Linked DNA regions of Caenorhabditis elegans. The protein of the gene in region 3 purifies or fractionates together with the protein of the main gene of each other region. This does not show direct contact. Each region holds a gene or a part of one and is shown on either strand. Other genes may lie near its edges.

Region 1 (9,908 bases), on a different chromosome or scaffold from region 3:
GCAACGGCAAGTAGCGACTGTGTTACAATTGAGGACATTGTCATGATGGAAAGATCCGAATTGAGAAGACACGTTTAGCGTATTGAAAACGGAGAAGTAGTCGCCCTTCCCTTTGCTGCTTCTGACCAGCTCAGTTTTTTTTCGACGGCGTCTGAAATGATAGAGTATGGAGACAGCAGACACATTGGCCACGCCTTCTTTTCAATATCGTTGAGTGCTCTTGGCTTTTTGCGCATGTGTGCTCTACACGACGCCTTCTAGAGCCAAAAGATTAGAGGATTAGAGAAACGAGACAATATTGAAGAATAGACTAAGAAGAGAAGAGACGTAGAGAATTAAAGAACAGGGATGGAGAAGGAGAAGCCTTAATTGTTTCATGCTCCAAAAGAGATGGATCGGATGAGTAGTTGACTGAAATTGGAATAAAGAGATAGAGGGACGACGGACACTGCTGGACACAAAAAATGGACGAAATAAATTAGGTTGTACAGCTTTAAAGTTCCCAAAGGGATATTAAGACACACAACGTTCAGTAGGATCCAAAACAATTTTTTGTCGAATCAAGCACAAAGTACAGCTCGTTACAGTATACTATAGTTTGCAAAAATTGCAGGGAAAAACTTCAGACACGGCTCATATTTTCTTGTTTAACGAAAAAAAAAAGGCATCAATATTTTAACACAAAGTTATAAAAATAACCACTGAAACAGTTCCCAGTCCACAGTAAATTAGAACTCTTTAAGATTGCAATTTTGTGTCGAAAATTATTTTTTGTCAAACAAACCAGGAGCCTGTATAACGTAATTTTTCCGAAATCTGCACCAGCGGGGGGGGGGGGGGCGGATTCAGTAAATCCATTCATAATAAATCAAATTGGCATAATACATAGATATCATGAACTCCGAGAACTTTTAGATTTTCGGTAACTGTCTGCAATGGTTTATACAATTATTTGACATTTGTTTTTAACTCATATTATTGACGTACGTATGTACATTCTGAAATTATTAATTTTTGGAAAAGTCTATAATGGAGGTCGAATATTTCCAGTGAGCAGGTGTTGTTTGCCATAAGTTTTGCCAAAATAATGGTGTTTTTCAGCGTTACAGCAACCTTTTGAGTTTTTTGAAATTTTAATTGTCTTATTTAATTGCCCGTTTATTGTATAGATTGAAATATATGCTCCGACTTGAAAAAGGTGAATTTAGAAGCCAAAATCTTATTTAATTCGTATTTACAGGTGTTTTCATATTCCTTTTTCAAAACGGAAAACATGTAATCTTCTTGACGATTTTCTTTCATAATCGGAAATTTTGGAATCTACAATTTCTGGCGAACATCCAAAATATTCTTGTTATTCACGCTTGAATCTTTTTATATTTATTTAGGGAACACAACTTTGTGGTAGATAAATGATAGACTTGGGTGAATATATATTTTAAACATACAGTGCCATTCCATCCCATAAAAACAGCATATGATTCGTCGAGACCAGTTCGAAAATTTAATGAAAAAAAAAACTACAGTAACTGATTGTCGCAAATATCGCATGCATGCTCATGAGTGGTATTTTAAAAAAAGTAATATTCTAATACATATAATAGAAAAAAGTAATTTTTGTTGGCTGTGAGCGCGTAAAATCTCAATTTCCGTTTTCATTTTCAGTGAATCGGAAACCAGCATTCTAATCATAATGTTAATATCAATAAAACTTAGCTTGAAGCATAAAATACAATTGTTTAAAGGAAAAGAGTATTAATGTGTCGGATATGGCATTATATATTTGATTGGATACTCGAGAGAAGGATAAACTTTTATTTTTTTTGCAGAATGAGGGAAAGGGAAAATATGACCTTTATTCTTTGTCGGTAAGGTTTTGTCGTGAAGAGGGGTTGTTTATAGATTCATCCGTTCCCGAATTTTTAATAAACCTGAACATTTTTAGAAGTCAAATAAAAGAGAGATTGATGAATTATTGTTACATTCAATTAGCGGGAACAACTCTACACAAGGAAACATCGTAAAACCACATTTGAAATACCGCCAAAAGAACATGGAGTCTCGACACGAATGACACGCGCTGACGGATGGTACCGTACCATCTCTTCACTGCGTTCCACCGCAAAGCTGAAGTTTTTGTCTTTTGACAAATTTTTTTTGTTGTTTTTTTGCGAGTTTTTTTGCAGATAAAAGCGAAATTTTTGTTAACTTGTCGCTATTTCACTGAATAGTTCATAAATTTTAGAACTTTGCACCTTTTATTTCAAGATATTATTCGGAATTATGTTTAAAATATCATAAATTTCCCAGAAACGTTTCAATCTTGCAAAATTTTAGCTGTTTCCTTTTTCGTGTTTTTGGATAAAAAGTTTTCGTATTCGTATTTTAAAGTATTTTCAGGTTTAACCTGCTGTCGAATAGTGGAACATTTTCTCAATGCCTCATCCTAAGCTCACTCCAAAATGCGAAGCACCCCCCGAAAAGGTGAGAACACAAAATTATCCTTAAAATTCAGATTTGTATAATTCTCAGAGACTTGCACATTTGGAGATTAGATTCAAAGATCGCAGACATATCATTCCTCCATTATTTCATAATGGCTGGGTGGGACGAAATGAAGATCGAACTTTACTCAACGACACAATCATTGAATTTTATATGTGTGATTGGATGCGTTTGGAAGTGTTCGATGAGGCTACGTAAGATATGAAAAACATTTTTATGAAATTAATGTTTTCATAATTACAGAAGAGCCAGTAGTCACGTCTTTCATTCATTCTTCTTACCGAAAATAAAGACTTGTTTTAAAGATTTTAAGGAGAATCCGCCACGGAGATCAGAGGTTTGTAGATATTTCAAAGATTGAAAAACTTCAATGGCGATTTCATCAAATGATATGACATTTCAGCTCGCCAACCACTATAACAGATTCTTCCGCAGCAAAAATGATGCCGAAACGTTTCTCAAAAAAGATATTCTGCTAATCCCAGTTCATCTCGACAAACCGAAACATTGGTAAAATATTTTTAACCTTTACAAATCTGAGAAAACTATTCGATATTTAAAAGTTCTAAATTTACTTCAAGTTCCATCTAATTGTTTATTTTTAGAGTTTCAAAGAGTTTGCAGGTTCCTCGTGATTGTGCATAATCCATCAGGCGCGGTTCGTCGAATTTCCGACGTCAATATACTTGACGCGACCAATAAAGTGAAGAGTAGACGATTGTCAAGACGGATAACCGGTCATGTTAATTGTGATGAAAATGCCGGTGAATGTCGAATTATTATCATGGATAGCCTGGTTCATTCAAAAAAATACAGGTAAGCAAATATTTTAAACTGCTATGCATAAAATAAAATTCAGAGAAGTTATTGATAAGACCCATGATTCCACTTTTGATCACATTCGTCTTTGGCTCCTGATGTCCGCAGCTGCAACTGATGTTGATATGTTTTGCACGAGATTCCGGTTAATTGTATTTCTTGATATCCATCATATACCTAATAATAATTTCAGAAAAGTTGTGTGTCAGAAGCTTCCGCAACAAAAAAATTCAGTGGATTGTGGTATCTTTATGATGGCATTCGCAGAGTATTTTACAAAATACAATACTGCGTGGCAGGTACACAATACCAATTGTTTTCAGAAAAATGTTTATTTTTTACAGAGCCTGCCGACAGATGCTCTCGCTGATTTGAAGATGGACGACGATATCAAGTCGTTGTTGAATAGTGAAACGCCACGACAACGTCTTGATGAGCTATTTCAATCACTGAAAGCTTGATTTTTTCTAATAACACTGTAATTTTTCACTCTTTCCTTCCTTCCTTGTGTTGTTTTTGTTCAAATATGATTCGGGAACTTAATATCGAATCATGAAATTTCTGTTTTTGTTCTTTTTTCTGATTTCTGAAAACTAATTGCATGCCAAACTTCTTTTTTTTTCAAATTTTTGCTGTAAAATGAAAATTTTGTTGCCTTTATTCGTTGTATTTAATTAAATACAACATCCCCTGGTAGAAACCGTGCCATGTATCTGCGAAAACGCGCGCCGCACATTGCGGTTCAAGCCACGCCCACTTTTCAAACGGCTCTGCTTTCGAATATTATTTTTAGATCTAATTTTTCTACACTTTTTACGACGGGAAAGGTTGAAATACATGGTTTTCGTATAATTCCAGTCTTGTGAACTTATGTCTCTTCAATATTTGCAACATCTCAATTTTTGTTCCATGAATATATGTGTTTCAGCCGTGTTCCACAATGCACTTGTACAATTTGACACTACAAGGGCAATCGGCCATCAATCAGGCCATTCAGGGCAATTTCTCTGGAACCCCCAAGGCGCAGGTATAAAAGTTAGAGAATTATATGATTGAAAATGTGTTTCTTCCAGGAAATCGTTGTTGGGCGCGGATCAGCACTGGAGTTGCTCACACTGGATACAGTTACAGGCAAAATAAAAGTAAGAAATTGATAAACTTACAGATTTTGATAAACGAGAATTGATTTTTAAGGTTATGTGCCACCAGGACATTTTCGGAATAGTTCGATCGCTTCTCGCTTTCCGTTTGACAGCTGGAACTCGAGATTTCATCGCAGTTGGTTCAGACTCGGGTAGAATTGTGATTTTACAATATAACGCTGAAAAAACATGTTTCGAGCGGCTGCATCAGGTAACCTTCCGCGTGGAAAGCATATATTTTCACTATTTTCTTTAGGAAACTTTCGGAAAAACTGGATGCCGTCGAATCGTTCCAGGCCATTTCTTGGTTGGAGACCCACGTGGACGTGCATTAATGATTGGAGCCGTTGAACGTCAAAAGCTTGTTTATATTATGAATCGAGACTCTGAAGCACATTTAACAATTTCATCGCCACTTGAAGCTCACAAGCATCACACATTGTGTTATGCAATGGTTGGAATCGATGTGGGATTTGAGAATCCTACTTTTGCGTGTCTGGAATTTGATTATGAGGTAATGAAACAAGACAGAATATTTATTTTGAAGACCACTACAATTTTTCGTTTCTATATAATTGTCGAAGAAGGCAACTTTCGTTGTGAAGATTTTGTTCAAAAAGGTTATCTCGTAGATTAGGATAGCAAACCGGACGTTCGATGAAAAAAATCGGGCGTCCAGTTTGCCAGCTCATGCCAGCAATAGACATTATCTCAGTGAAAGGTTCATTGTAATGTCAGATTGATTTGAGAAAAAAGATAATTAGAATTTGAGAGTTTTGTTAATTTTTAATTATGTGAAATCCAATAATCAGCTCTAATTTTCCAGGATGCTGACAACGATCCAACCGGAGAAGCAGCAAAACGAACACAACAAACGTTAACCTTCTACGAGCTTGATTTGGGATTAAATCATGTTGTTCGAAAGTATGCGGAACCTCTAAATGATCCAGGAAACTTGCTTATCGCAGTTCCAGGTGGTAATGACGGTCCGTCTGGTGTCATCGTGTGCTGTGAAAACTATTTGGTGTACAAGAATCTTGGTGATCAACCAGATATTAGATGTCCGATTCCAAGAAGAAGAGTGAGATTTCTTTTCTTTTTCTTTCTGAATTTCTCCCCAAATTATTTTGAATTCAATAATTTTTTACAGAACGAGCTCGATGACGCAGACCGAACAATGCTCATCATTGCGACGGCTACTCATAAAACGAAAAATATGTACTTTTTCCTTGTTCAAGCTGAAAATGGAGATATTTTCAAAGTAACACTGGAAACTGATGAGGATCTTGTGTCGGAGATGAAACTCAAATATTTTGATACTGTACCGCCTGCGAACGCTTTATGTATTCTGAAATCCGGATTCTTGTTCGTGGCTGCAGAGTTCGGAAATCAGTTAGTTTTTTTTTTTAATTTTATTGAAATCTATTGTATATTTTAGTAATCAAACGTTTTACAATTAAATTTATTTCAGTGAGCTCTACCAAATCGCTAGTCTGGGTGAAGGAGATGATGACGAATTTTCATCAGCAATGGGATTCGGAGAAAACGATGCGGCATTCTTTGAGCCACATGAGCTCAAATCTTTGATTCCAATTGATTCAATGGATAGTTTGAGCCCTCTTACAGATGCTGTCGTATGTTTTACGAGTTTTAATGGCGGGTTAAGATTTCAAAAAAAAAACGATCCAAATTTTGCTAAAATCTGAAATTTTGCCAACTTTTTTTTTGTAGAAACTGGAATACGGACACATTTTACTCCGATAGGAATTCAATTTTGTTCCTCTTTAATTTCTAATATGAAAGTATTCGAAAAAAAAACACTTACATTAATTTTTTTTTTTTCATTTTAGCACCAGCATCATGTTTCAAACCCATTTTTAAGTTTAAAAAATGAAAAAGTCAAAATTCTTTAAAAGCTGAAAAATCGGAAAAAAATGATTGTTGAATATCAAAGCTAAAACGAAATGAATTTACAGATTGGAGATATTGCTCGAGAAGATGCAGCACAGATTTACTCACTCGTTGGACGTGGTGCTCGATCTTCTTTGAAAGTTCTTCGAAATGGACTTGAAATTTCTGAAATGGCAGTTTCTGATTTGCCTGGAAATCCGAATGCTGTGTGGACTGTGAAGAAGAATATCGAAGGTTTCATTTAGAATAAAAATTAAAAATCTGACCAATTTCTTAAAATTTAAAATTTCAGACCAATATGACTCATATATTGTTGTTTCCTTTGTCAATGCCACACTTGCACTAACAATTGGAGATACTGTCGAAGAAGCATCAGATTCAGGATTTCTTCCAACTACACCAACTATTGGATGTGCAATGATTGGTGATGATTCTCTTGTTCAGGTATATTCGAAAAGTTTTCTGTTTTAATTATCTTTTTTTTCAGATCTACTCGGAAGGTATTCGTCATATTCGGGCAGATAAGCGTATCAATGAATGGAAGGCACCACCACGGCGACAAATTGTCAAGTGTGCTGTTAATCGACGACAAGTTGCAGTTGCATTGACAGGAGGAGAACTTGTGTATTTCGAATTAGATTTGGTAGAATTTTACAGAAAATAACTTAATTCAAATTAATGATCATTTTTTGCAGAATGGAACATTGAACGAGTTCACGGAACGAAAACTATTCAACGCAGATATTGCATGCATGACGTTCAGTGAGATTTCAGAAGGAGAACTCAATTCTCGTTTTTTGGCACTCGGAACAGTTGATAACGCTGTTAGAATAATTTCTCTCGATCCAAATGATATGCTTATGCCATTGAGTACTCAAAGTCTTCCATGTCCACCAGAATCTATTCTTCTTATTGATACACCGAATGAAGATGGAAAAGGAGTTGCAGCTGTTCATTTGAATATTGGTTTGCAGGTTTGTATTCTATTACTAATTTATGAGTTTTTGATTCTTGAATAATTAATAAAGGTCTACTAAACAAACAATATTTTCAAAATCGCAATCGACTACGTTTTCAGAATGGATGCCTCTTCCGTAATACTGTCGATAATGTCACTGGAGCTATTATGGATACCAGAACACGATATCTTGGTACCAGACCTGTAAAACTTTTCAAAGTACAATGTCAGGGACGATCTGCGGTAAATTTCATTATTTTTAAAGTTCAGAAAAGTATTTATTTTCATTTTTTGTAAATTTCAGATTCTCTGTACATCTTCCCGTTCATGGCTTCTCTATCACTTCCAACGCCGCTTTCATTTGACACCACTCAGCTATGCGAATTTGGAATACGCGGCAAGCTTCTGCTCAAATCAGTGCTCAGAAGGAATTGTCGCCATTTCTGCCAGTACACTCAGAATTATTGCAGCCGAGAAGCTTGGAGTGGCATTTAATGTTCAATCATTTGAACATAAGATGACACCACGTCGTGTTGCTGTTCATCCATCAATGCCATGTCTAATTGTGATTGAAACTGATCATGCGTCTTATACAGAAGTTACCAAAAATATTAAGAGAAATCAAATGGCTGCGGTAAGTGGCTCACAAGAAATCAGTTCGCAGTTTTTTATTATCAGCAAAAATGAAAACTAAAGCTTATTTTTTAGGACGTTGAAGCAATGGCATCAGACGAGACAGAAGCTCAACTTGCACAAGAAATTGCTACAAATCTTCGTGAACGACGACTCGATGAGCGAGTGTACGGAGCACCACGAGCAGCTCGAGGAAAATGGGCATCTGCTATCAGTTTAATTTCTGCGACTTCTGGGGATAAACTCTCATATTTTGAGCTCCCACAAGATGAGAATGCAAAATGGTTTGATTTTTTCATTCAGAAAAATAAAATTTTAATTGAATTTGTTTCAGCGTGGCTCTTGTGCAATTCTCGAAGCATCCGAATGAAGCTATGGTGCTGGTTGGTTGTGGAGTTAATGAAGTTCTTAATGTACATGACATTGATCCAAATGATACATCCATTCGGCCAACTAGAGGATGTGTTTATACATTCCATCTATCAGCAAATGGTGATCGATTCGACTTTTTGCACAGAACGGAAACACCATTGGTAAGCTTTATAGCTATTTAATTTTCATTTAAAAATGAATGAGTATATTACCCAGGGGAGAAGTTTTGCACTGATTGCTTCAAATATACGATAACCGTTCTCGACGCGAAAAATTTTAAACTATGAAAAATCGGATTCCGCATCAAAAATGTGTACTGTAATTTCAAAATTTCAAAGAAATGTAGATGTTTCGTGTGTTGATGAAAAAACATTTTTTTTTCGAAAAAAATGAAATTTTGATTAACTGAAAAATTAAAAATGTTTAAATGCTTAAGTTTTCCCAAAAATCACACTCGTAATTATTTTTTTTAAATCAAAATTAGTTTTAAAATTAAAATTATGTTTTCAAAATAACGCTTCAAACTAAAAAAATAAGTTTTTCTAATTTTTTCAGTTTTTCCTTTTTTGTTTTCGAAAAAATCGTGTCGAGACCGGGTACCGTATCTTTTTGGTAACTTTTTCTTCTGGGGATGACTCAGTTATTTTAATTTTATCTTCTAAATTTGTATTCAAAATTGAGATTTTTATGCATAATTTATCTTTTAAAAAAATTAAATTTCAGCCAGTGGGAGCAATTCATGATTTCCGTGGCATGGCACTCGTCGGTTTTGGTCGATTCCTCCGAATGTACGACATTGGACAGAAAAAGTTATTGGCAAAGTGCGAAAACAAGGTCAGTTTCTTTCTTTTTTTCAAATAAACCCCCAGGAATGTTCATTTAAAATGTGTGAAAATTGACAATAGGAAGGGCCGGAAGGCAGCATGTGTGCAGAATTTGAATTTGATTAGTCAGAGAAAGGAATGACATACAGACACAGATGAGGTCGGAAGGATTCAACAAAAAAGTGAAAAACTAGAAGGAAGTATCGAGAAAAATCGAAGAAAAGGAAACCATGGATTATCAGTTTTTAAAGATCATTCTTGTTATTCTTCTTTCGGCTAAAGTTCAGTTCGTTCACGGAGATTAAAAAATAATGTTTCAATAAAAAACTACAAAAGGGATTCACTACAATGCCTGCAAAGTTAACTTGTAAGAAGTTTTCAGATAAATTCTGAGAGGGACTCAATTTTATAAATGGCTAGAGTTCTCCGAGTATTGTGGTAGAACATTGGATAGTGAAAAGTGAGGATTTCATTTGATTTTCCATTGTTTTCGAAACATTTAATAACGAAGAAATACCCTTTTTGGTTCATCTCAAAATTATTTTTTTATCGAAAATAATTTCCCACCCTCTAACTGCTCCGCCTCAAGTGTGCTCTGTATTAACCTTTTGTCTCAAGTATGTGTGCCAGCTACTTTTAGTATTCGCTCCGACGATTCAAGCTAGGAAAATGTGATTTTTTTGTTGTTGCGTGAATCACCATCACTTCCGAGTTATATGGGTTTCAGTAAACAGCAGACATTAA
Region 2 (7,709 bases), on a different chromosome or scaffold from region 3:
GTTAAGAACGTGCTGACGTCACATTTTTTGGGGCGAAAATTCCCGCATTTTTTGTAGATCAGAACGAAATGGAACATTCTGACATCACGTGGGACCCCGCGCGCGCGACATTAAAATCCAATAAATTATTCAAATTTAAATTTTCAGAACGGTGACCTCTGTATCAGCATCCTTCACTCGCCAATCGACGATCCACAAAGTGGAGAGCTCGCGTGTGAACGCTGGAACCCGACTCAAAGCGTCCGAACCATCCTTCTCTCGGTCATCTCACTGCTCAACGAGCCGAACACCTCGTCACCGGCCAACGTCGACGCGTCAGTGATGTACCGTAAATGGAAGGAGGATCAGGACCCGGAATACGCGAAAATCGTCACGAAGCAGGTGGAAGAGTCGAAGAAAGTCGCACAGAAAGATGGAATTCAAGTGCCCGAAACGATTGAGGAGTACTGTGTGAAATGGGCTCCACCACAACAGGATGATGTCTTTGACGACATTGATTATAGTAGGGTTTTCTCGAAATTTGAGCGATTTTGGCGTAAAATAGCGCTTTTTAACGGGAATTTTACAGTCACATTGGCCAGAAAATGATAAAAATCGACATTTTTGATGTCTAAAGTGAATTAAGACTAAAAATTTCATCTTCTACGCTAAAAATGTCTTATATTTTGCGTTTTTTGCACTAAAACTGGCTATTTTTGGTAAAATTCAAAAATTGTCAGTTTTTAGTCGAAATATCCGCAAAATTATACACTTTTTTCAAAAAAAATTGCCGATTTTTCAGGTAAATTGCCAGAAATCGCACGAATTCACGGATTTCTGGCTTCCCTTATAAATTGAAATGGAAGAGTTTTTGCCGAACTAGTCCAGGCCACCATATCTGGGGTAGATTTACGGCGCGTTGCGTGTCGCGCCGCGGCTCGATTTTAGTTGTAAAACTAAATGTATTTGTCCGTGTGGAGTACACGACTTTCCCACACGTTTTCCGGCGGGCGATTGTCAATGGAGCGCGAAAAATTCAATGAGGAAGGTCAGAACCCCGTGACCTCAAAAACCTCAAAAAAAAGTCTATTTTTCGCAAATTTAGTTGTAAAATTCCCGAGAAAATTGGATTTTTCAGTTAAAAACCCGGATTTTTGCCAAATTTTCAATTAAATATCGATTTTTTTCAGACGACGATTTCGGGTGTGACTATGACGACGATGAAGAGGAGGAGGACGAGGACGAATGCGGCTCGGACTATAATGATGATGACGAGGATTCGGGACAAGGAGAAAATTAGTCAATTTTTTTTAATTTTCTATAATTTTTTCCCCATTTTTTTTCTCAATTTTCTCAATTTTCCAACCTAGAAAAATTCAAATTCATATCAAATATACCACGAAATCTTGGCGCTTCTTTCAAACAAAAAATCTTCAAAATCCGACTCAACTAGTCCTTTTCTCAATGCATTTATATGTACACTTTTGCCCTTCCCAAGCAGCTATCAATTCATATTTGTGTTATACTCAATATTTTTTCGTCTGGAAACAGTTTTTTTTGTCCAATTACACACACACACAGGCTGATCACAGTGCACTTTCAACTATTTTTGTTTTCTATAAATGAAGCCTTCTTTTTTCTAAATTGTCTCGGAAAATTGCAGATTTAGAGTTGAATTCTCAAAAAATAAGTCGATTTAATCCGAAAAAAACATTTTTTTCGCAAGTCTGCATTTTTGCGTCACGGTGTTTGCGGACACTGTAGAAAATAATTTTTTTTGAAGCAAAATCGCAATTTTAACGCATTTTTCTCTTGATTTTAACATATTTTTACTCTAAAAACCCGTGAAAGTAATATTTTTTCTCAATTTCAGCACTCTAGAAAATGAGCAAACGACAGAATCCCGCCGAATTCCTGAAGAAAGTCATCGGAAAGCCGGTTGTGGTGAAGCTCAACTCTGGCGTCGACTACCGTGGCATTCTCGCATGTCTCGACGGGTTAGTGATTGGGAAAAATCAAAAAATCTGATTAAAAACACCTGAAAATTAATTTTTCTTCCAGAAAAATTACGAAAAAATCTAATTTTTCAGATATATGAACATCGCGCTCGAACAAACCGAAGAATACAGCAACGGACAACTTCAGAACAAGTACGGCGATGCGTTCATCCGCGGGAACAATGTGCTCTACATCTCCACATCGACGAAATAACTTTTTTTTGATTTCGATTTATTTTCCAAATATTTTTCCCTTTTTTGAGCTATTTTGAGCAAATTTCTTGTTTGATACGTTTGGATCTCGAATAAATTTGTGTTTTTTTTTTCGCCGAAAATCTGAGTTATTTCGCTCGAAAACAGGCTTTTTCAGCAAAAATCGAGAAATTTCTTGGGTTTCCTCACCGTTAGACGCGTCGCGGTCATGCGTCACGTGCGGTGGGTCTCACCACGATTCGATTTACGGGGAAGCATTTTCGAAAAAAAGAAGACATTTTTAAGTCAATTTATCGCGTTTTCATCGATTTTTCGAGCTTTTCCGGTGATTTTTTCGATTTTTCAACTCAAATTTCGAATTCTACGTATTTTTGTGCCACTTTCACTGCAACAATCGCAATTTTCAGACAATTTTCAAAAGGATAATGCCACCCGGACCACTTCCCGCCTTAGTAAGTTGATTTTTTTTTTGATTTAAAAACTGATTAACTTTTGCTCTCCGAGTGGTAAGTGATAATTTGTAATGATATGCGATCACACTAAGGCTAAACCGCCTTGCGATGATCTTTCCACCCGCACTGGAAAAGGAGAATTAGGCGGTTTTCTGCCGCCCGATATGTGATCGCACATTTCAAATGATACCATTCAAAAACTATACCTAATTTCATAGTGAAAAGACCAAAAGAAGATAAAGAAGAGCAAGAGAGAGAGAGACGTCGCACGAAATCCATCAGTCTTCTGTCCCCCCATCGATTTTCCGAAAATTGAAAAAAAAACAGTTAGTTTCAAAGTTTGAGCGTTTGTGTGCTCATTTTGTGCTCGTTTCTAGCCTTAAAATTTCGAATTTTCCATCAAAAAACTCATTTAATTTCAGATGAAAAGCGAATGGCTCAAGTGTCCGCGATGTAAGACGAAACAGCTCAAGCCAGAGCTCATCAGCACCGAACCCAATGGATCCGATAATATTTGGTGGATATGTGAGGCTGTTCAGGTAGAAATTCATGAAAAACTGAATTTATATTGGGAAACCAGGCAAAAATCGAGCTAAAAATCGAATTTCAGGTTGTTTTGGCTCGTATGAACGGAGAAAATCAGCTTTTCATAGCAATTTAACTGAAAATTATTGTTTTTTATATCAATTTTCGGTGAATTTCCGATGTTTTCGACGATTTCTCCCCTCAATCACTGGATTTTCACAAAATTAACTAAAAAATTCCGGTTTTATTGAATTTCAAGTTCAAAACTTGAAAATTCTGTGGGGAAATTGCTTTAAAACATGCCTATGGTACCACAATGACCAAATATCATAGTAAATTTTTTTTTTAATTTAGAACATTAAAAAAAATTTTACTATGATATTTGGTCATTGTGGTACCATAGGTATGTTTTAAAGCAATGTCTCCTCAGAATTTTCAAATTTTGAACTTGAAATTCAACAAAACGGACAATTTTTAGTTAATTTTGTGAAAATCGAGTAATTTTGAGGCGGAAAAATCGTCGAAATCATCGGAAGTTCACCGGAAATTGATTTTAAAAAACATTAATTTTCAGTAATATTTCATAATCACGCTCTCCTCAAAGCCGGAGAATTATTAGAGCGCGCTTGCTGCGCTTCGCATTTCTGCATCCGCGGTAATTTGACTTTCCACTGAAAAAAGCAGATATTTCAGATTTATCGAATTTTTAGCTTTTAAAATTTTTTAAATGCATCTTTCGAACAAACCTTTTGTTAAACAGTGAAAATCGAAAAATGACTAAAATGAAATTTTTCGTCCACTGGTTGTGAAATGGTTTGAATTTGAAGAAATCAATGGGATTTTTCTTATTTTCTAAATATTTTTCTATTAAAAATCGGTTTTAACCCATTTTTTTGACCCTAAAAGTCACAAATGTTTTAAAACCGATTTTAATAGAAAAATATTTAGAAAATAAGAAAAATCCCGTTAATTTTTTCAAATTCAAACCATTTCACAGCCAGTGGACGAAAAAAGTTCATTTTAGTCATTTTAAATTCGATTTTCACTGTTTAACAAAAGGTTTGTTCGAAAACTGGAGAAAAATTTTTTTTAAAGCTAGAAAATTCGATAAATCTGAAATATCTGCTTTTTCAGTGGAAAGTCAAAATACCGCGGATTCAGAAATGCGAAGCGCAGCAAGCGCGCTCTAATAATTATTCGGCTTTGAGGAGAGCGTGCATAATTACGACTTTTTTAAAAACTAAAACTGCCGATTTTAATCATTTTTTATTTATTTTTTATTTGCAGAAATGTCAATTCCCAATGGATATGCCTCCACACGTCTATCATGTCGTCCAAACTGCCTTCCAAAAGCGTCAAAAATGCATTCCCCTGCCACGCATTGAGAAGCTTCCCGAGAAATATCAATATCTGTATCCCCTGACGTTCGCCAACTCTCGACCGGTCTCCCGTTGCTCATCAGTGGCTGGAAATTCTGAAAATTCTGAAAATCGAGCCGCCAGAAACTCGTTGGACGGGACGACGACGACGACGACTACGATTTCTGAGAAATCCAGTGGTCAGAATAGGCTAAAAGCTGAAAGTCTTCATTCCGAAACTGTTAATAATACAAATACCCCTTCAACGTCTTGCTCGGCAGAAGCTGAGCTTGAAAATCAGAGTATTGATGATGTGGAAATTGAAGAAGAAGAGGCCGTCAGGCCGTGTAGGACTATTAAGCGACGGCTTAATGATTCTGGAAAATCGTGGGCTTCGTTGATAGAAAAAGTTGCGGCCGACTCGAAAGCGTCGAATACTATTATAAATATGGAGGTGAAAATTTGGAACTTTTGAGCTGAAAAAAATTTGAGTTTTCCCGAATTTTTAAGCGGAAATTTGAATTTTCCTGGATTTTTAAACGGAAATTTGATTATTTCCGAATTTTTTAGCGAAAATTTGAATTTTCCCGACTTTTTAGTTGAAATTTAAACTTTCCCAAAGTTTTAAACGGAAATTTGAATTTTCCCGAACTTTTTAACGAAAATTTGAATTTTCCCGAATTTTTAAATCTAAATTTGATTTTTCTCGAATTTTTAAAAGGAAATCTGAATTTTCCCGAATTTTTAAGCGAAAAATTGAATTTTTCCGATTTTTAAGCGAAAATTTAAATTTTCCGAAATTTTTAATCGATAATTTGAATTTTCCCGAATTTTTTAGTGAAAACTTGAATTTTCCTGGATTTTTCATCGATAATTTGAATTTTCTCGAAGTTTTCAACGGAAATCTGAATTTTCCCGAACTTTTTAACGAAAATTTGAATTTACCCGAGTTTTTAAGCGAAAAGTTGAGTTTTTTTCGAATTTTTAAGCGGAAATTTGAATTTTCTCGAAGTTTTCAACGGAAATTTGAATTTTCTCGAAATGTTTACCAAAAGACTGAATTTTCCCGAATTTTTTAGTGAAAATTTGAATTTTCCTGGATTTTTAGTTGAAAATTCGAATTTTCTCGAAGTTTTCAACGGAAATCTGCGTTTTCCCGATTTTTTAGCAAAAATTTGACTTTTCCCGAACTTTTTAAAGAAAATTTGAATTTTCCCGAATTTTTTAGTGAAAATTTGAGTTTTTCCGAGTTTTTTTAGCAAAAATTTGAAATTTCCCGAATTTTTTAGTGAAAATTTCAGTTTTGCCGAATTTTGGAATGAAAATTTGAATTTCTTCAAAGTTTCCCGTATTTTTGAGCGAAAATTTGAATTTTCCCGATTTTTTTACTGGAAATTTGAATTTTCCCGAATTTTTAGTGAAAATTACACTTTTCCTGGATTTTTAATCGATAATTCGAATTTTCTCGAATTTTTAAACGGAAATTTCGATAATCAAAAAATTGGAAGAAAAAAAAATCGCGATTTTCTGGGTTTTCTGGGTGAAATCCTTCGAATTTTTGCTCAATACTGCGAAAAAAACGCAAAAATTTTCATTAACATCTCCCAAAAATCGATTTTTTTTTTCAGGAATCCGAATTATTCCGTCGTATGCAGGAGTTTTTCGATGCTCACTACTTCCAGCGTACTCCGATGACCTATAAGCGTTCAAGAGCGGCTTTACGGTTGGAAATGCTCAACAAATGGCAAAAAATCGATAATTTTAGACTTCCCTATCGGATAGAAGACATTGAAAATTGTCTACAATCAATAACTCGTGAAGATTGGAAAACTGCCCGACGTCGAATGATTAATTTCACTGTAGAAGAGAAAATGGTGGCGAGAAGTGGAAATGCGGATGAGTTGCTGAAAAGTGTTGGAATTGATTTGCAACAAATTAAGAAAGCTGTCGGAGAGAAAGTTGGCAATGTTATGGTACGGATTGAAGAAGAGGAAAAATGACGAAAATCATGGAAATTTTTGAAAAATTTGGCCGAAAAAACGAAGAAAAACCTAGAAATTTGATTATCCTGCGAAGATTTTGCAAAATTTTAAAAAATTTGGCATAAAAAAACAAAAAAATTCGATAAAAACCCAAAAATTTGATTTTCCTGCGACGATTTTGCAAAACTTTACACAAATTAGCCAAAATTCAAAAATTCGCAGAATCTACATGAAAAAATAATTTTTTTTCTCGAAAAAATTGCTTTAAAACGCGCCTATGGGGTCATAATGACCGAATAGCATGGTAAAACAAATGCAAAAAAATTTTCTAAATTTTTTATGATATTTGAAAATTGAAAAAATCACAGTTTTCCCCCTAATTCCGATTCGAATTTCCGCTAATTGAATTTGTTCGATGGAGTGTGCTTGCATTATTTTCATTAATTTTTTAAAAATTTATTTTCATTATTTCACTGATTTTCTTCATTTTTTGGGCGTTTTTAATCGGAAAATGAAAGAAACATACGGGAAAAATGCAAAATGTTTATTAAAAAGTAACTGAAAATGCCTAAAACTCTGAAATTATACGATCCGACGATGACGAGCCTGAAATAAGTATTATTCACAGTTTTAGGCATTTTCAGTTACTTTTTAATAAACATTTTGCATTTTTCCTGTATGTTTCTTTCATTTTCCGATTAAAAACACCCAAAAAATGAAGAAAATCAGTGAAATAATGAAAATAAATTTTAAAAAATTAATGAAAACAATGCAAGCGCGCTCCAACGAACGAGTTCAATTGGCGGAAATTCAAATAGGAATTAGGGGGAAAACTGAGATTTTTTCAATTTTCAAAAATCATATAAAATTTAGAAAAAAAAATTTTTTTTGAATTTTTTTATTATGATATATTCGGTTATTGTGGTATCATAAGCATGCTTTAAAGCAATTTCAAAAAAATCAAATTTTAAATTTAATTTCCGAAATTTATGGGTTTCTGTTTTCAGACATTTTTCTCGAAATTCGCTGAAAAATACAAAAAATGCCGATTTTTCCTAAAATTACGCAGTTTTCGATTTTTTTTACAAAATTGCCAATTTTCCTACAAAATATTTGAATTTTTCCGATCTTTTAGTCAAAAAAAGTCGAATTTTCCAATTTTTTTTTCCACAAAAATTTGATTTTTTCCGATTTTTTACACAG
Region 3 (7,202 bases):
TTTTTCATGTGGATCTGAATATCACTAAAGTGTGTGAGATGCATGAAAACTGGGCAAAGACAGCTTTTCCAGATGAAATGAATGGATTTTGCCTTCTTCCAGTGATTCGACTCGACGACTTTTCCAATATGGTCGAAGCAAATGTGATCGTCGATCTTCAGATCTTGAATATTATCACTTCCAAAGTATTGAAGAATCATTGGGATCTCCTCATGGATGAATCCAGTGATTGTGAGCTTTCCAACGTCCACTTTTTTCACGGATTTCAACATAATTCGGATGATCTCTGAAGTTTTCTTTCGATCGACTCCCTCGAAATCCGGGCCCAAAACAACTTCGAAAGATTCCAAATGAAGTTTCGGATTATTGATAATCATCTTGAAGTCGGTAGAAGCCAGCTTCAAATAATGTCCGTTTTTGATTGTCTTTTCCGAAAAGTTATAGGCCTTCAAGGTGCATCCGACGTTGCTTCGGCGGTAGAAAATGCACAATTCATCGAATTTCAGAACGATTTCTCCGAGCTCTTTGATGAGAATGGTCGCATTCTTAAAGCCGGGATCACGGTCGTCGACGGCGTCACGGAATCGGCGGGAAACTTTGCGAAGAACAAGCCTGAAAACATTCATTTTTTCTAGGAAAATGTTATTCAGTTCTACCGATCAGTTGGCTTCACGTAGTCCAAAATATTGTGAAGGACGGCGAGTGGCATGTTGAAAAGCGAAGGTGGCGTCTTCTCCGACCTATAAAAAAGAAAATGAGCTCGAATTCTTGAATTTGATATTTTATTTCGCTAACAGCTTCATCGATTCAAATTTTCAACGATTTCAACGACATTCGGTCCATTTGACGACACGGATACGGGATAAGAGTCGCGGAGAGCTATTCGAGGCATTACTTTCTTCTGAAATTTCAAAAATTCAAAGAAATCGCACAAACAAGACGGGAAACGCCAAAAAAACATAGTTGTTTTATTGCTCAGCTTAAGAAATCACACTCGTGATTGGCCGGACACGCCCACTTTTTGAAATTTGCGAGAAGCCAGGCATGGGGTAAGGAATGATAGATAAATGATAACTTTCTTGAATAATCAAAATGTATAACTAAATACTCAACAGGTTTATTTATAATATAACAATTTAATCAGAAAATTAGCGAACTTTCTTTTCGATTTTAATGTTTTGAACATTAAACTCGACATGGAATTCCTTGCCGTTGATGGAGAAGTCGGTGCCGCCACTAGGTCTTCTGGCGAAATTCGGCTGAAGGATTTTGACGGCCTCACTGAAGTCCTGTCCGAAACATGACGTGATGTTGATCGATTTGATGGTGGCAGAGCGTTTGAGAAGCTGAAAAGCGGTATAATAAGATTTTTTTGTATTTTTTGGTTTTTTAGTTCAAGAAGTTAATAGATATATTTTTTCAAAATTTAAAATTTGTCCCCAACACAACTTGCCTCAAGGATATGCGCCGCATCTTGTTCCGCAACCTTTTTCATGCTCTGGATCTGAATATGGCTCAATTGTTTCAACTCGGCATATCTTCCAGGATGTCCGAGGCAAACGGCACCTCCGAAGTTCAGCTCTTGAATGTGATCTCTTTCAAAATATTGAAGAACCATCGGGATTTGTTCCTGATGGAATCCAACGATTTTGAGCTTTTCGACGTCTAATTTTTTAGGTGACTTCAGCAACATTTGAACGACTTCCATGTTTGCTTTTTGGTCGGCGGTATACGGAATCTTGACAAAATCGAGCTCAAAAGACTCCAGACGAAGTTTCGGATTATTGATAATCATTTTTAAGTCGGCAGAAGCCAGCTTCAAATAGCTTCCGTTCTTGATTTTTTTTTCGCGAAGTGCTCCATGCTTATTGAACTTGATGGAGCATCCGGCGCCATTTCGACAATAAAAAACGCACAAGTCGTCGAATTTCAGGATGACATCTTCGCGCGCACCGGTGAGAACGACCATTGCCTTGAAACCAGGATCATGATCGTCGACGGTGTCACGGAAGCGACGGGAAACTTTGCGAACGATAAGCCTGGAAATATTCATATTTTTTATAGAAAAATTTATACAGTTCTAGTTACCGATCAATTGGCTTCACGTGATCCAAGATATTGTGAAGAACGGCGAGTGGCATATCGGAAAATGATGGTGGCTTCTTCCCCGACCTATAAAAAAAAAAGAAAATGAGCTCGAATCCTTGATTTTCATCTTTTATTCCGCTTACAGCTTCATCGAATCCAAATCTTCAACGATTTCGACGACAGTCGCTTCATTTGATGTCACGGATAGGGAATAAGAGTCGCGGAGAGCTATTTGAGACATTACTTTCTTCTGAAATTACAAAATTCAATGAGAAATTGCGGAAAAAAACAGCGGAACGGTAAAAAAACACATCGTTGTTTTATTGCTCAGCTTAAAAATTTTAGGTTTGATTGGCTGGACACGCCCACTTTTTGAAATTTGCGAGAAACCAGGCAATAAATAATTAATTAATGATTTTTCCTCAACAAAATAACAAGTTTAATGATAAATTATATCCCAAAACGGCGAAAGGCGCTTTAAAAACATTTCGAAAAAAAAAACAAATTTGGTTGCGCGTCAGTTATGATACATTATACGCATTTACGTATTCTGGGAAATACAGTACTATCGGGAAACTTTTTTGATTTTTTGGAAAAAATTGGCAGAAAACTTAAAATAAATACAGTTCAACTTAAGAATTTTGTCATTTAACAGGACAAATTAAGGTTGCTATCAAACACGATAAGTATTTTCACTTTTTCACGTATTTTGGGCGATTCTGCGATTATTTTTGTATTTTCAGCTCGAGCAGAATTCGAAAAATTATTTCCAGGGACGATCTGAACAATTAAGCCTTTTTAGAGCATCAGAAAGCTGCTATCTATTCTCAACACGTGCTGAATATGATCCTACAAGACCTGCAAGATGTACAAGTACTTGTTAAGTGATAAGAAAAAAAAGAGAAAAATGCTGAAAAAACAGATTTAAAAAAAATTGTTTTCTTTTTGCTTCTTCATTCTGTTTTGTTCCTGTTATAAAATTTTCCAAAATTTCCTTCAATTTTTATTTCAAAATCGGAGAGATTCGTGGCAAAATAGAAAGTATTAGAAAATCACAATATTCACAGATATCAATTAAATCTCTGGTCCTTCTCCTCCCGGCACGAGCATCGTGATGTGATTTCCGTTGAGAAGAATCGTGTCCAACTTGGTCATTCGCTTGCCGTCGGCGGTGTTCTCGTATTCGACGACGTCCTCCAGAACCATGTTCACGTAGTCATCGAAGCCTGTCAGAGTGCCGACGATCTCCTTGTCGTTCTTCATTATCACCCAGATTTTCGAGCCGATGCACTTGTCAATGAGCTCCAGTGGGAGAAGTGTGTTTGGGTTGGTGGATGTTGAGGTTGCCATGGTTTCTGGAAAGAAAATCGGGTAAAATTTGAGAGGAATTGCTGAAAAACAGGAAAAATGAGGGGAAAAGATGATATTTATCAAGTTTTTTTAAAATTTTTCCTCACAAAAATTTTTTCAAAGCCTATTTTTCCAGAATTTTTGATGTTTTCTCGCTGAATTCACCGGTAATTTGCACATAAATTTCATTTTCAGTAAAATTCGTGTTAATTTCCAATCGATTTTAGAAAATTTTGATGAAAAGTCGTTTCTACAAGAATTTTGCTGGAATAATCGAAAATCATATGAAAAATACAGTTAAAACAATACCATTAATGCAATTTTAAAATATTTTAACAATAAAAACTCACAAAATTCCAAGAAAATCGAGGGAAAACGAAGAAAATCCAACAAAAAAATGTTTTCGATTTTAAAAAAATGTGTGTCGATTTACGGTAAGCAAGGCGACTATGCGTCATTTCGGAGTGTCGTTGTACACTTTTGGAGGGAATTTTGAATTTTAAAGCTATTTATTCAGAGAAAATCGCAATTTCTGTACAAGTCTCACAATTAAATACATGGCAAATACACGGAAGAGTACATAAAAACCCGGTTAAATATGTCACTATTACAATTATAGCGGTTAGACCGTAAAAAGCAAGGAAATCCCAGCGAAAAGGCAACTTAAAATATAGGAAATATGTTCAACCCGATTTTAATTGTCGACAGCTTCTGTGAAGTGAGACTTGACAGTTCCGAGACCCAACAGCTCTTTGGAAATCTTTTGGATTTCGAATTTCTTGACTTTTCCGGAAATTGTGAGAGGGAATTCGGACTCCTTTTTGATGAGCACGTACTTTGGAACCTTGTAGTGAGCCATCTGGAAATTTCGACTGTATATTTTAAAATAATGGATTAATAACTTACTCCTCTCTTACAAGCCTTCTTAATGTGCTCCGCGGTGATCTTTCCTTCATCCTCAACGCGAAGACGCACCCAGGCGCAGATGTTCTCTCCGTACCTGTCATCTGGCACACCGACGACCTGGAATTTTTTTGTTGAAAAGTTAGGCCATAAGTTTGAAGTTCAGGCCATAAGTAGTCATGGTGCCCTTGATTTAAACGAGAATAACTCGCCAGTTGTTACAAGTATCAAAAAGTTGCCAACTGAGTAAATGTAGAGAATTTTCTGTAGATTATTTTAATAAACTTTTTGATATTTTAATAAACTTTTTGATTGGACCCCCAAGAGCAAAGATAGAAGCTCCCAAACTTACATGAGCATCAGCGACATAGTCCAACTTATGCAAGAACTGCTCGATTTCGGTCGGATAGACGTTCTCACCACCCTTCACAATCATGTCACGAGTTCTACCGACAATATTGATAGTTCCATCCTCGTTCATCGTGGCGGTATCTCCAGATTTGTACCAGCGATCACGTGTAATTGCCAAGTTGGTCTTGTCGTGGTCGGCCCAGTAGCCGAGCATAGTCGAGTAGCCACGAGACCAGAGCTCTCCTTTAGCTCCAGTTGGCACGGGGACTCCAAATTCATCGACAATGGCGAGTTCTTGATGTGGCATCACTGACCCGACGGACTTGATTCGCTCGAATGGATCCACGTGGAGTTCCGACATGGTGACTAGAGGGGATCTGAATTCAGCTGTAAGATGGCATTTCGACAAAGAAGAACTTACGTCTCGGTAGATCCATAGATCACTGAAAAATCAGTCATTCTCATCTCCTTCACCATCTTCTCGCACAAAGCCATCGGACATGGGGCTCCTCCGATAACACCCCCTCGAAGGGATGAGATGTCGAATTGCTTCATAAGTGGAGACTTGAGCACGTCAATAAACATGGTCGGTGTGCCGAACATCGTGGTGCATTTCTCATTTTGAATAGCCTCGAAGATATCCGGAACATGGTAGGACTTTGATGGGAAGACCACAGTTTGTCCATGATTGACCGCGTTGATCACTCCGACCGCACATCCGAAGCAATGGTAAAGAGGGTTTGGGATACAGATTCTGTGATCCTCTCTATCCCATCCAAGGCGAATTCCTGCGAAATATGCGTTGTTGTTCAGCCCGAAATGGGTCAGAGTTGCTCCTTTTGGATGACCAGTGGTTCCACTTGTGAATTGCATGTTTACTGGCTCATCCGGTCGAAGTTTGCGATCCATGTCTTCCAGCTTTGCGCGTTCTGCACTTCCAGCAGCATGGATTAAGTCAGAGTAGACCCAGGCTCCGTGGACGGGGACGTCATCTCCGTAGAGCACAATGTGGCGGAGCTCTGGGATGTCATGGGATTTGATGTGTCCAACTCCTGGCTGGCCACGTCGCATTTCTGGCATTGCCTGGAAGAGTTTTTTAGACTAGAACGTGCAATTTATGATCTACACTTACCTCAAGCATTGTGTGAACATAGTTGCTGTGCTTGTGTCTCTTTGGTGCAAAGAGCACCTTCATTCCAGTTTTTCTCATCACAAAACGAAGTTCTTCGTGGAGGTAGTGAGGATTGACATTGACCTGAATGACTCCTGCAAATGCACATGCATACTGGAGAACCACCCATTCGTAGTAGTTTGGTCCCCAGACTCCGACACGATCTCCCTTCTCGAGACCGAGAGTGTAGAGCGAGGCTGCCATTTGACGGACCTGAAAGTTTACAGCCTTTTGTCAAAGAGCCTAGGAAAGGGGAACTCACGTCATGGTAGAACTCCTCATAGGTCTTTCTAATTGGGTATTTGGAAAAAACACAGAACTCCTTATCCGGAACTCTTTCAGTAGTATTTCTCAGTGTCTGTCCCAAAGTCTCATTTCTGAGCGGAATATTCGAGGTTCCGTGGATGTAGCTGTTGGTGTGCTGACGATGAACCGACGGATGGGTCAGGTGATGAGAATCTGTGGTTGGGATGTTCGAGGTGGATGGAGCTGCGTGAGTGCTTGTGAGCACGTGGGCGAAACGGCGGGATACGAGGATTGAGCGCATTTTTGTGATGGGATCTGGAATAATGTGAGGTTATTGGAGAGGTTTTTTATGAAAGAAGAGAGAAGGTGAAAAAGGATAGTTTGCAGAGGAGAAGTTCAAAGAATTTAAGAATCGGATAGTAAGCCCTACATGAATGCAATGACTAGATGAAGAAAGTATAAATGAGAATATATTTTAATCTGCATTCTGAAGATATTAAGGTTGCTGAAAATCTCGCGGATACATCTCACAAGATTGATAAAATTCAGAAAATCATAGTGCTCTGGAAGCGGCCTGTTCAAACAGAATTGGAATAGTTTGGTTACGAGGACACAGACGGGAAGAAAAGTGAAAAAGTGATAAAGCGATTCAAATACTATATGCTCAAACTGATGCAGGTGATTTTCAGAGCAAAAAGGGCTTAATTTTGGTTGTCTAAACAAGAAAATAACTGCAAAAGCTTCAAAATCTTGGAAATCTCGAGATTTTTGCCCAATCCCTTCTCCTCCTTTTTCTGAAGATCTGAAGGCTGTTGAAAGTCTCCCGGATCCTCCTCGCCGGCTTTTATACCAGTTTTCATTATGCACAAAACCATATCAAAGCTCCGCCCCACTCGCTCATCGTTCAATGCTTCCCCCATCCCCTCCCTTACGTGTGTTGGTGTGTCTCCGCCGACAAACAAGTGGAGGCGCCACCAGAGAACGATCACCATGTGAGTGTGATCGAACTGAGCAGAGAACGCCATTTGGTTGGTCACTGGGGAGATGAAGTCACATGGGTGTAGAAGAGGTTAAGATGGAATCGATGGAAAAG
Region 4 (8,200 bases), 2.1 Mb from region 3:
GACTTATATTGCAAACAAGCAAGATGCTAATAAGAGTCAGTTGGGATTTTTTTTCAGAATTTTTCCTACGTTTTTTTTGCTAATTTTCAGGGGCTCGAACTGAAAGAGAGAAAGCTGAACTTCCATTCCTTCAAAATTCACATAACGATGTGTGGGTACCACGAGAAGTTGCTGAACAAGAACGAGAAGTAATGACAGTTCGAATGAATCGCCGTCAAACAAATAGCGTCTGGAAATGGATCAAAACAAAGACTGAATGGAATGACAAGTCGAAAAGAGCAGATCTTATATCTCGAGTCATGTTCCCTGTACTATTTCTCACGTTTAACATCTCCTATTGGACTCATTATGGACAATACGGTGTGGCCATCAGTACGTAATATTCTGGAATTATTTAGCAATCAAATACTTTCTACTATCATACCGGTGCCCTCAATGGAGAAAACAAAATGAACACGCCTGCAATAAACACCATTTGAAACTGTGAATAAAACCTGTTTGTTACGAATTTTTTATAAAAATAAATATTTTTTTAAATGAGATGATATCAAACTTGACAAAAAATGAGATGAACTTTGAGGAATGAACACGTGGATTTACTGTTTTGCCTTTGAATCGAGAAGCTCCTTCCGGCAGGAGTCAGCCAAGAGTTGTGTGTCGACTTGATCGGATGGGAGTTGCACGTACCTTTAAAGAATCATTTTGAAATATTTATGAAAAATGATAACTAATTGTACCTGACGACGGATCCGCGGATGAAGCAGTTTTTGACAGAGACCATATGTGGAAATCGTTCTGGATCGGAGACGGTGATATCGGTCAACTTCATGTTGAGATACTGATCGACCGAGTGCAGAGTTCCGCAGATACTGAAAAATTATTAGAATTTGCATTTGAGAGATTAGAATAAGATAATTATTTTTTAAATATTAATTTTGTGAGATTTAAACTTCAAAACTTATAAAAATTAGCAGAACTAATCTTAAATGGAATTTCATAATTTAAATTCAAACCCAGGAATGGCACTTGCGTTTAAAGAGATTTCGAGAAATTCGGAATTTTCATTATGTGGAAGTGTATCGTTGAAAATGATTTCCGTCTGGCTAATACATATTTTCGGGGAGTTTCGAATTCTTTCTAGACATTCAGAATATTGAACCCAAGAAGTTTTAAGCATTTTTTGTGAACCAATTTTTAAGAAATGTCTTGAAATTGAAGTTTTACATGGGTTCCAGTTATTTTCTCGATTTTCTGTAAATTGTATATACTGATTTAACAAACCGCACCTCAAATCATTTTTGAGCTCCACGACAACGTCCTTTCCTACGAGTGATTTGAAGAATGAGAAGAACAGCTGAAATAGTAATATTTCGTGAGTTACAACAAAAATTCGGGACTTTCTACATACCTAAACCATTAATTTAAATTACATTTAAGCGGAACAGCCTCATATCCGAGACAACCAACAGTTTTATAACACATTTAATAATTTGAGTATGTACTTTTTCAATTTATATCACAAAATTAAAAGGAAAACTAACCATTTTATGTTAAATCGTCGAAGAATTGCAAAGATTCAGAAAATTAATGAAAAAATAATATTCAAAACTAATTATAAACAAGGCGCACTGCGTCAAAACGGAGCATCGTTGCCAGACGAGAGAGAAGAGACGAAAAGAAATCAGAGGGAATCCGGTTATTTATTTGAGTGACCAACAGAGAATTCCACTTGCCAGTTTGTTTTGCGCTATGTTTGAATCATCTTTCGAGACAGAAAGAGAAGAAAATGCGCCGGTTTTGTTGTCAAATCAATGCTTTTCGCCTTCCCTCTTCGTTTATATCGATCTGATGATATATCTCAATTTGTTGTAATCTATTTCGTGTATCACATTTAAATCTCCGTTCGTTACATTCGAATTATCGCATCGATGAACTGTTGTTTTCCAGAACACATGCTTCGAAGGTTGAAAGAACAAGTTTCGCAAGTCGCGAATGATGTAAGTTTTCCGTTTTGTAAAAAAATTAGTTTTTTCCATTTTGATAATTTATTTAGATTGACGGCCGACTAAACAACAGTCGACCAAGTATTTCAAGTCAAGGTTCACAGTCGCAATCACAAAAATCAGAAAATGATCAGGAGATCGAAGGGTTCTTGTGCCCAATGTGTATGGTAGAGCTCGGTGGTCCTGATGAACTTACTGTTCATTTTGAAAAAGAACATTCTGACGTAAGTTGATTAATCTCTGATTCAATAGAATTTTTTGATAGTTTCAGACATCAGCCAACAGAAATCATCCCGATTACACTCCACCTCAGCAAGCTCCACTCGCCTTTGCTACAAAAGATCAAGAAATTGAAGAGCTTCGAATAAGAGTTAACGAAGAGAAACGTTTTGCTGAACGGATAAAAGAAGAACTTGATAATATTAAATCGGTAATGGCAATAGCTTCAGAAGTCACAGAAGATGAGATTCCATACATGGCACAGCAGATTCAAGTTCTCACAGCCGACAAAGGAATGGTTACTCGGCAATTTCTGGAACTTGAGAAAGAGAGCGGCCAGCAGTCCCGAGAATTGCAACAAGTTAAACAAGAACGTGGAGATTTGATGGCCAAATTGAAACAGATGAGCGTCACAATGCGCGAAATTACGGATGAATCTGAATCGGGCAAAGTTGAAATGGAGGATCTGAAAAGAGAGCTGAAAGTTGTGAAATCAGATGTTGTTCGGTACGAAATCGAAGTTTCTCGGCTTGAAAAGATGCTCGATCAGAGGCCTTCTGAAGATGATGTGAATGTTTTGCGTACTGAGCTAGTTAATGCTCAAAAACTAATGGATGCTATTTCTCAGGAGAAAGATATCGAAATCAAGGAACACCTAAATTCGATTCGTAATTTAAGCATGGAACGTGAAAAACAGCACATCGTAAATGAGAACTTGGAAAAGAAAATTGGCGAAGGAGAAGAAACTGTGAAGCAGTTGCAAATATCGTATGATGCTCAATCCGAAGAATTGAAACAACGAAATGAACGGGTTGTTCAATTAGAAGCCAGAATCGAAGAGAACGTGTTCGAATTAAGTGAAAACAAGCAAAACGTTAAAAGGCTCGAAGATAAAGTACAAGAATCACAAGATGCTCTTCAAATGTTATCTAATATCAATGGATCTAATGAAGAACAAATGATAAGCCTGAATTCAAAATTCGAGCGGGTTAGTTAATTTCTTTGTTTATTTTATCGTATTAGGCAAAGCTGTAACCTGAAACTCAATTTCAATTTGCCGGTTTTATAAACAATGTTTGCAGAATACAGCGGAGAGGAAACGAATTGAGGCGGTTTTCGAGGAAAAAGTAACAGTGCAAGGGGAAAGACTAAAAACGGTGAGAAAGTTATGTAAAATTCTATATCCCGGTCTCGACACGACTTTTTTGTTAAATGGAAAAGGATGTGCGCCTTTAAAGAGTACTGTAATTTTAAACTCGCTACTGCGGAAGTGTGTTTTTTTTTGAAACGGGAGTAGTAACGAGAGTTTGGCATTACAGTATTTTCGAAAATTTGATCGTGGCGAGACTGAATACCGTATTTTTTGCTCAAAAATTGTAAATTTCATATCTGAGTAGCATTTCTAGTGAATGAAAATTGTACTCTTTAAAAGAAACCCAAAGAAAAAATAGGAAAAACTCCAGCTGAATTTAGATGATTTTTCAGCTTGAAATGGCAAATCTTGACCTCACTAACGAGCTCGCCTCAATGGGATCTCTTCTCGATAAGGAACGAAGTCTTCTGGAAGAAAAGAACAAAGAAATTTCGGAACGAGACTCGTCCATCAATGATTTGAAAGAAAAGTTGGCAGAAAGTGAGAAAAAAGCAACAAAGTACAAAAACGAGTTGAAAGAACACGCTGATCTTGTCGAGAATCTTACTCTCCAACTCAACAAACTTCAAGAAAACTCGAAAGATTTAATGGAGAAAATCTCAGCCGGAGAAGGTGGAGCCAAGATGGCAATCGAGCAACTTGAACAGGAAAAAGTGAAATTAACGAATGAACTCCAAACATCGTCTGAAAAAACTAAGAAAGCTTCCGGAGAACTTGAAGCCAAAATTTCAGAATTGGAGAAAAAGCTGAGAGATGCTGAAGCATCAAGGACTGACAAAGAACAAAAATGGAAACAAGAAAAAGAATCATTCGAAAGGAAACTTGCTGAAGCTGAAGATGAAATTAAAAGGAAAGGAGAAAGATTTGTTGAAATGGAAAAAGAAATGGAAGAGGAACGACAAAAGGCAACTGACAGAACATTAAAGTTGAAGGATGCTCTTGTGAATTCGGAAAAGAATTTAGAAACAATTAAAAAAGAGAGTGAAGATCGCGAAAAGATTGTTCGGGAGAAAGACGCACATTTGGAAGAGAACAAGAAACGAATTGAAGACGCAGTTCAGAAGCTTGAAGAAGCCGAAAAACGAGCAAGAGAATTGGAAGCTTCAGTTTCGAGTCGAGATACAACTGTTTCAACTAAAGAATCAGAGCTCTCCGAGCTAAAGGGAAAATTGACAGAATCGAATTCGTTCATAGAAGAACTCAAAGTGCAGGTAGAGAAGGTTAGCTTGCGTTTTGGATTCCTTTTGAAATGTCAGTGTAATTCTGGTTATGTCTTCTAACAGCACCTACAGCTTTTCAAATTAAATTGAATATTAGAATTTGAATATTACTTAGACGCAATTTTTGAACCAAAAATATCTCAAAATATTTGATGGAGGAGACTGTGAAAACGACAAATTTTGTTAAGAGTACCGTATTTTCAAACATTTGTTGTTGCGAAATTTTTACTGTTTTCATAATTTTTCGATAAAAAATCTACTTGTTTTGAAAAAACCGCAAGTATAACAAAAAAAAAACTTAACAAAAAATGTAGCAAATTGTGAGAAAAAATATGAAAACTCAATGAAAATTACGTAGCAACAAAAGTTTGAAACTACTTTAACAAAAAATTTTCGTGTCGAGATCGGGATACCGCAAGTTTGACACAAAAGCTCGCGAACGAGTAATATCATCCGGAAAATTGAAAAAAAGTTTTTAAAAATAATTGTACCAAAGATCCCTTTTAAAAATCGAAATACAAAAAAGTTAAGATTTTCCGAAAAAAAAAACATTCCGAAAATTAACTAAAAAATATGATCTTTTAAATCTTATTTTGTTTATTTTGACGAGAAAAAACATAAATTTTCTTCAAAAAAAAGAACAATGACCAAAATTTAAAGCTAACTTTAAAAAAAAAACCGAAAAATTTTTTCTAAATATCGGAGAATTGGAAGTCGAAAAATTGAAAAAAAAACGAAAATTTTCGATGTTTCGTTTTTGTCAAAAAATCGAAAAACGGTAATAACAAGCGGAAAATTGCAAAAAAAAGTTTTTGGAAAAAATGGTCCAAAGCAAGCACGTTCCCCAAGTGTGATCCTATCCAAATATCAATCACAACTCCTTTTCTATCGCCCTAGATAACGTCCCGTCTTGTCCGTTATTATTTTTTAACTACCAATTTGACGAGCTTTCGCTAACCCTGTTTACCTATTTGAGCTTTACAATCCATAGTGTGTCGGCCTTTTTAGTATGTAATTCAGGTGAGCAACGAGATTTCCGAAAAACAACAAGAAGTCGAGAATCTAATGGCGGAGATGCGTGATAAGGAGGCTCATTGGAAAACGAAACGAGACGAATTCGAGGCTCAGATGCTTAGAAATCAAGAAGACAATGAAGAAGCTTCTTCAACATTGAAATCAGTTCAAGAACAGTTGATGAAAGAAAAAGAGACATCTGGCGAAGAAAAAAATCAGCTCATCTCGGTCAAATCTCAGCTTGAGGAATTGAAAACAGAAGTCGAACGGCTTATTCGTTCAGAAGAAGAAAAGACACAAGAAATAGAAAAATTGAAATCAGCTGTCACAGCTACTGTAAGATAATCCTCAATTTGAATCAGTTAAACAAATGTTTTTTAGACTCAAGAGCGTGATGAATTGACTGCAACATCAGAGTCTCTTCGAACAGAATGTGAAAATCTCAATAGCAAAATTCAATCCATTGAAGAAAGTCGTAGGCATGCCGAAGAAAAAGGATCTGAAAATTTGGAGAGAATGATTACGGAAAAGTCAAGACTTGAAAAAGATATTGAAGAAAGGGAATCCACAATTCAGTCGATTCAAGAAGCATTAGAAACCAAAGATAACGTAAGATAGTTCAGAAATTGATTTTTTTTAAAATTATTATTTTGCAGGAAATTGAGTCTCTGAAAACTACGCAACGTGTCGTGGAAGATGAGCTAGTTTCAAAAATCTCGCACATCGAATCTTTCAATTCTAGAATTGAAGAGTTTGAGAAAGAAATGGCCAGTGGAAAGAGAACGATCGAACGATTAGAAGCAGAAAAAGCAGAAGAAACTGAGAAGCTTGTCGTTTTCACTGGAACACAGAGCCAGAAACAAGAAGAATTGGAAAAGTTGCAGAAGGAGATTCAAGAGAAGGAAACTACGATTGCAAGGGTTCGTTTAGATTTTTTTTGTACATAACTAAAAAATAGGAAACGAATTCTTAAGAAACTTGCACGCTTTTTTAAATCGTTTTTTTTTATTAAAAAATTCGATTAAAACATCCAATTATAAATGTTAAATAAAAAAATTCTAAAACTTAATTTTTTTTCAATTTTTCAAAAACAAAAGAAAACCTTTTTTGTTTTTGCAAAGTTGAAAAATCATTTGAAAAAACATTTAGAAATTGTTCATAAGGTCATTGCAGTTCATTCATTTTCTATCAAAATGTCAAAATGACTCTTGTCCACCATTAAATATAAATTCCAGATGACATCCAGCAAAACACAATTTGAAGCCATGTTCGCCGACGTTCAACAGACACTTTCGAAAGAAATAAATGATAAAACTGAAGAAATTGAACGGCTCATGGAAAGAATTGATAGCCTTGAAAAGGTGAATCATTCAAGAATCGAAGAATTAGAGAGCAGATTGACTCAAAGAGAACGAGTCGTTGAATCTCTTGAAGCTGATTTGGCTGCAGTCAGAAATATCGAACAAGAGAAACTTGATGAGTTGCAGAAATTGAAAGAAGAATTTGATGGCAAGTTTAAATATTTCAAGTGATAAATAACATTTTGAAATTTTTTAGAATTGAAAAAAGCTGAAACAATGTGGCAAGCAGAGAAAGATATGCTAATCGAGCGGTGTCTTGGCAGTGAAAGTGACATTGAATACGAGAAAGAGAGATCACAAGAGAATAAGAGAAGATTTGATGATGCTCTTTCAGCCATGCATGAACTTGGAAGAGCCAATCAGTCACTGCAGGTAATTTTTAGCATATAATTTTTGCCTTTCGAAAATATTAAAAAAAAAAACATTTTCTTGTAAAGTTCCGCGAACGATTAAATTTTGTCGGATTCGATACGATTTTCAAAATGTTTGAAGAATAATTTTGAATATTTAGGACCTCTTTTTTCATTAAAAATATAAAAACAACACAAAAAAGAATCATTTTCGTAAAAATGGAAAAAAGCTAAAGTTCGACCCGTTTTTATGGGTGGAGATTAGAGGAAAAAGTGCGGTAATTCAAACGAGGAGATTAGAAAGAGTTGAAAATCGCCAAAATCATCTTCCTTTTTTCAAACCTAATAAAATAACTCGCCATTGACAGTATTCATGAAGGAGTAGAATCCTGTTCAATTCTAAAAAATTACAGATTGATGCCGACCGTTACAGTTCTCGGAAATGGCTTGACGATGCAGAAGCAATTAATTGTACCGAATGTGGAAAGGTGTTTTCTCTGACAGTTCGAAAGCATCATTGCCGAGTTTGTGGAAAGATTTATTGCAATCCATGCAGTTCAAAATCAGTCCGAATTGCGAGTGCCAAGAATCCAGTCCGAGCCTGCAACACGTGCTTCACTGATTCCCAGAAATGATTTTATTAATTTATAATTTTAAAATTTAAATTCAATGATCTGATTATGATCTATGTTTGTAAATTATCAAATGCCCTAATTTATATACAAGTACACTTATATTTATTAATCATATTGAATCCATCTCCCAATCCCTGCCCGTATATACAGAGTTATGTGCCATTTCACGAGACCGCCCCCAATCAAAAAGACACTCACGAGTTTCAGTTTTACCAATCCCGATCCTAGTTCATTGTGTGATACAT

What was found.
Region 1: the proteins of lsm-5 (region 3) and teg-4 fractionate together in Caenorhabditis elegans (co-fractionation; one large-scale study listed by BioGRID). This does not show direct contact.
Region 2: the proteins of lsm-5 (region 3) and lsm-6 fractionate together in Caenorhabditis elegans (co-fractionation; one large-scale study listed by BioGRID). This does not show direct contact.
Region 4: the proteins of lsm-5 (region 3) and gut-2 fractionate together in Caenorhabditis elegans (co-fractionation; one large-scale study listed by BioGRID). This does not show direct contact.

What each region holds. Positions count from the first base shown.
Region 1 is NC_003279.8:6,810,266-6,820,173, forward strand, and holds the start of teg-4 (Splicing factor 3B subunit 3), read left to right. Parts: upstream 1-4,245; 5' UTR 4,246-4,264; coding exon 4,265-4,351; intron 4,352-4,397; coding exon 4,398-4,466; intron 4,467-4,518; coding exon 4,519-4,677; intron 4,678-4,722; coding exon 4,723-4,980; intron 4,981-5,292; coding exon 5,293-5,547; intron 5,548-5,616; coding exon 5,617-5,858; intron 5,859-5,937; coding exon 5,938-6,100; intron 6,101-6,442; coding exon 6,443-6,611; intron 6,612-6,669; coding exon 6,670-6,821; intron 6,822-6,864; coding exon 6,865-7,020; intron 7,021-7,072; coding exon 7,073-7,351; intron 7,352-7,455; coding exon 7,456-7,578; intron 7,579-7,639; coding exon 7,640-7,969; intron 7,970-8,043; coding exon 8,044-8,252; intron 8,253-8,302; coding exon 8,303-8,501; intron 8,502-9,063; coding exon 9,064-9,174; intron 9,175-9,908. Other genes in the region: K02F2.5 (Conserved secreted protein), read right to left, coding at 1-44; ulp-5 (Ubiquitin-like protease family profile domain-containing protein), read left to right, coding at 2,437-2,484, 2,533-2,699, 2,749-2,842, 2,909-3,015, 3,130-3,321, 3,365-3,469, 3,518-3,623, 3,669-3,785.
Region 2 is NC_003279.8:1,699,509-1,707,217, forward strand, and holds lsm-6 (U6 snRNA-associated Sm-like protein LSm6), read left to right. Parts: upstream 1-1,852; 5' UTR 1,853-1,863; coding exon 1,864-1,976; intron 1,977-2,069; coding exon 2,070-2,190; 3' UTR 2,191-2,300; downstream 2,301-7,709. Other genes in the region: ubc-3 (UBC core domain-containing protein), read left to right, coding at 148-502, 1,170-1,279; Y71G12B.13 (RING-type domain-containing protein), read left to right, coding at 2,615-2,641, 3,064-3,180, 4,454-4,978, 6,153-6,247, 6,290-6,497.
Region 3 is NC_003283.11:15,566,616-15,573,817, reverse strand, and holds lsm-5 (U6 snRNA-associated Sm-like protein LSm5), read right to left. Parts: upstream 3,439-7,202; coding exon 3,163-3,438; downstream 1-3,162. Other genes in the region: fbxa-94 (F-box domain-containing protein), read right to left, coding at 1-612, 657-740, 796-803; fbxa-95 (F-box domain-containing protein), read right to left, coding at 1,149-1,346, 1,454-2,039, 2,089-2,172, 2,232-2,329; acs-2 (Medium-chain acyl-CoA ligase ACSF2, mitochondrial), read right to left, coding at 4,133-4,297, 4,345-4,461, 4,694-5,069, 5,114-5,775, 5,825-6,076, 6,126-6,410.
Region 4 is NC_003283.11:13,491,120-13,499,319, reverse strand, and holds gut-2 (U6 snRNA-associated Sm-like protein LSm2), read right to left. Parts: upstream 1,580-8,200; 5' UTR 1,545-1,579; coding exon 1,542-1,544; intron 1,355-1,541; coding exon 1,287-1,354; intron 870-1,286; coding exon 738-869; intron 688-737; coding exon 597-687; 3' UTR 501-596; downstream 1-500. Other genes in the region: avr-15 (Ig-like domain-containing protein), read left to right, coding at 1-35, 91-380; eea-1 (FYVE-type domain-containing protein), read left to right, coding at 1,953-1,997, 2,054-2,227, 2,269-3,210, 3,305-3,379, 3,708-4,595, 5,616-5,945, 5,991-6,218, 6,266-6,529 and 3 more.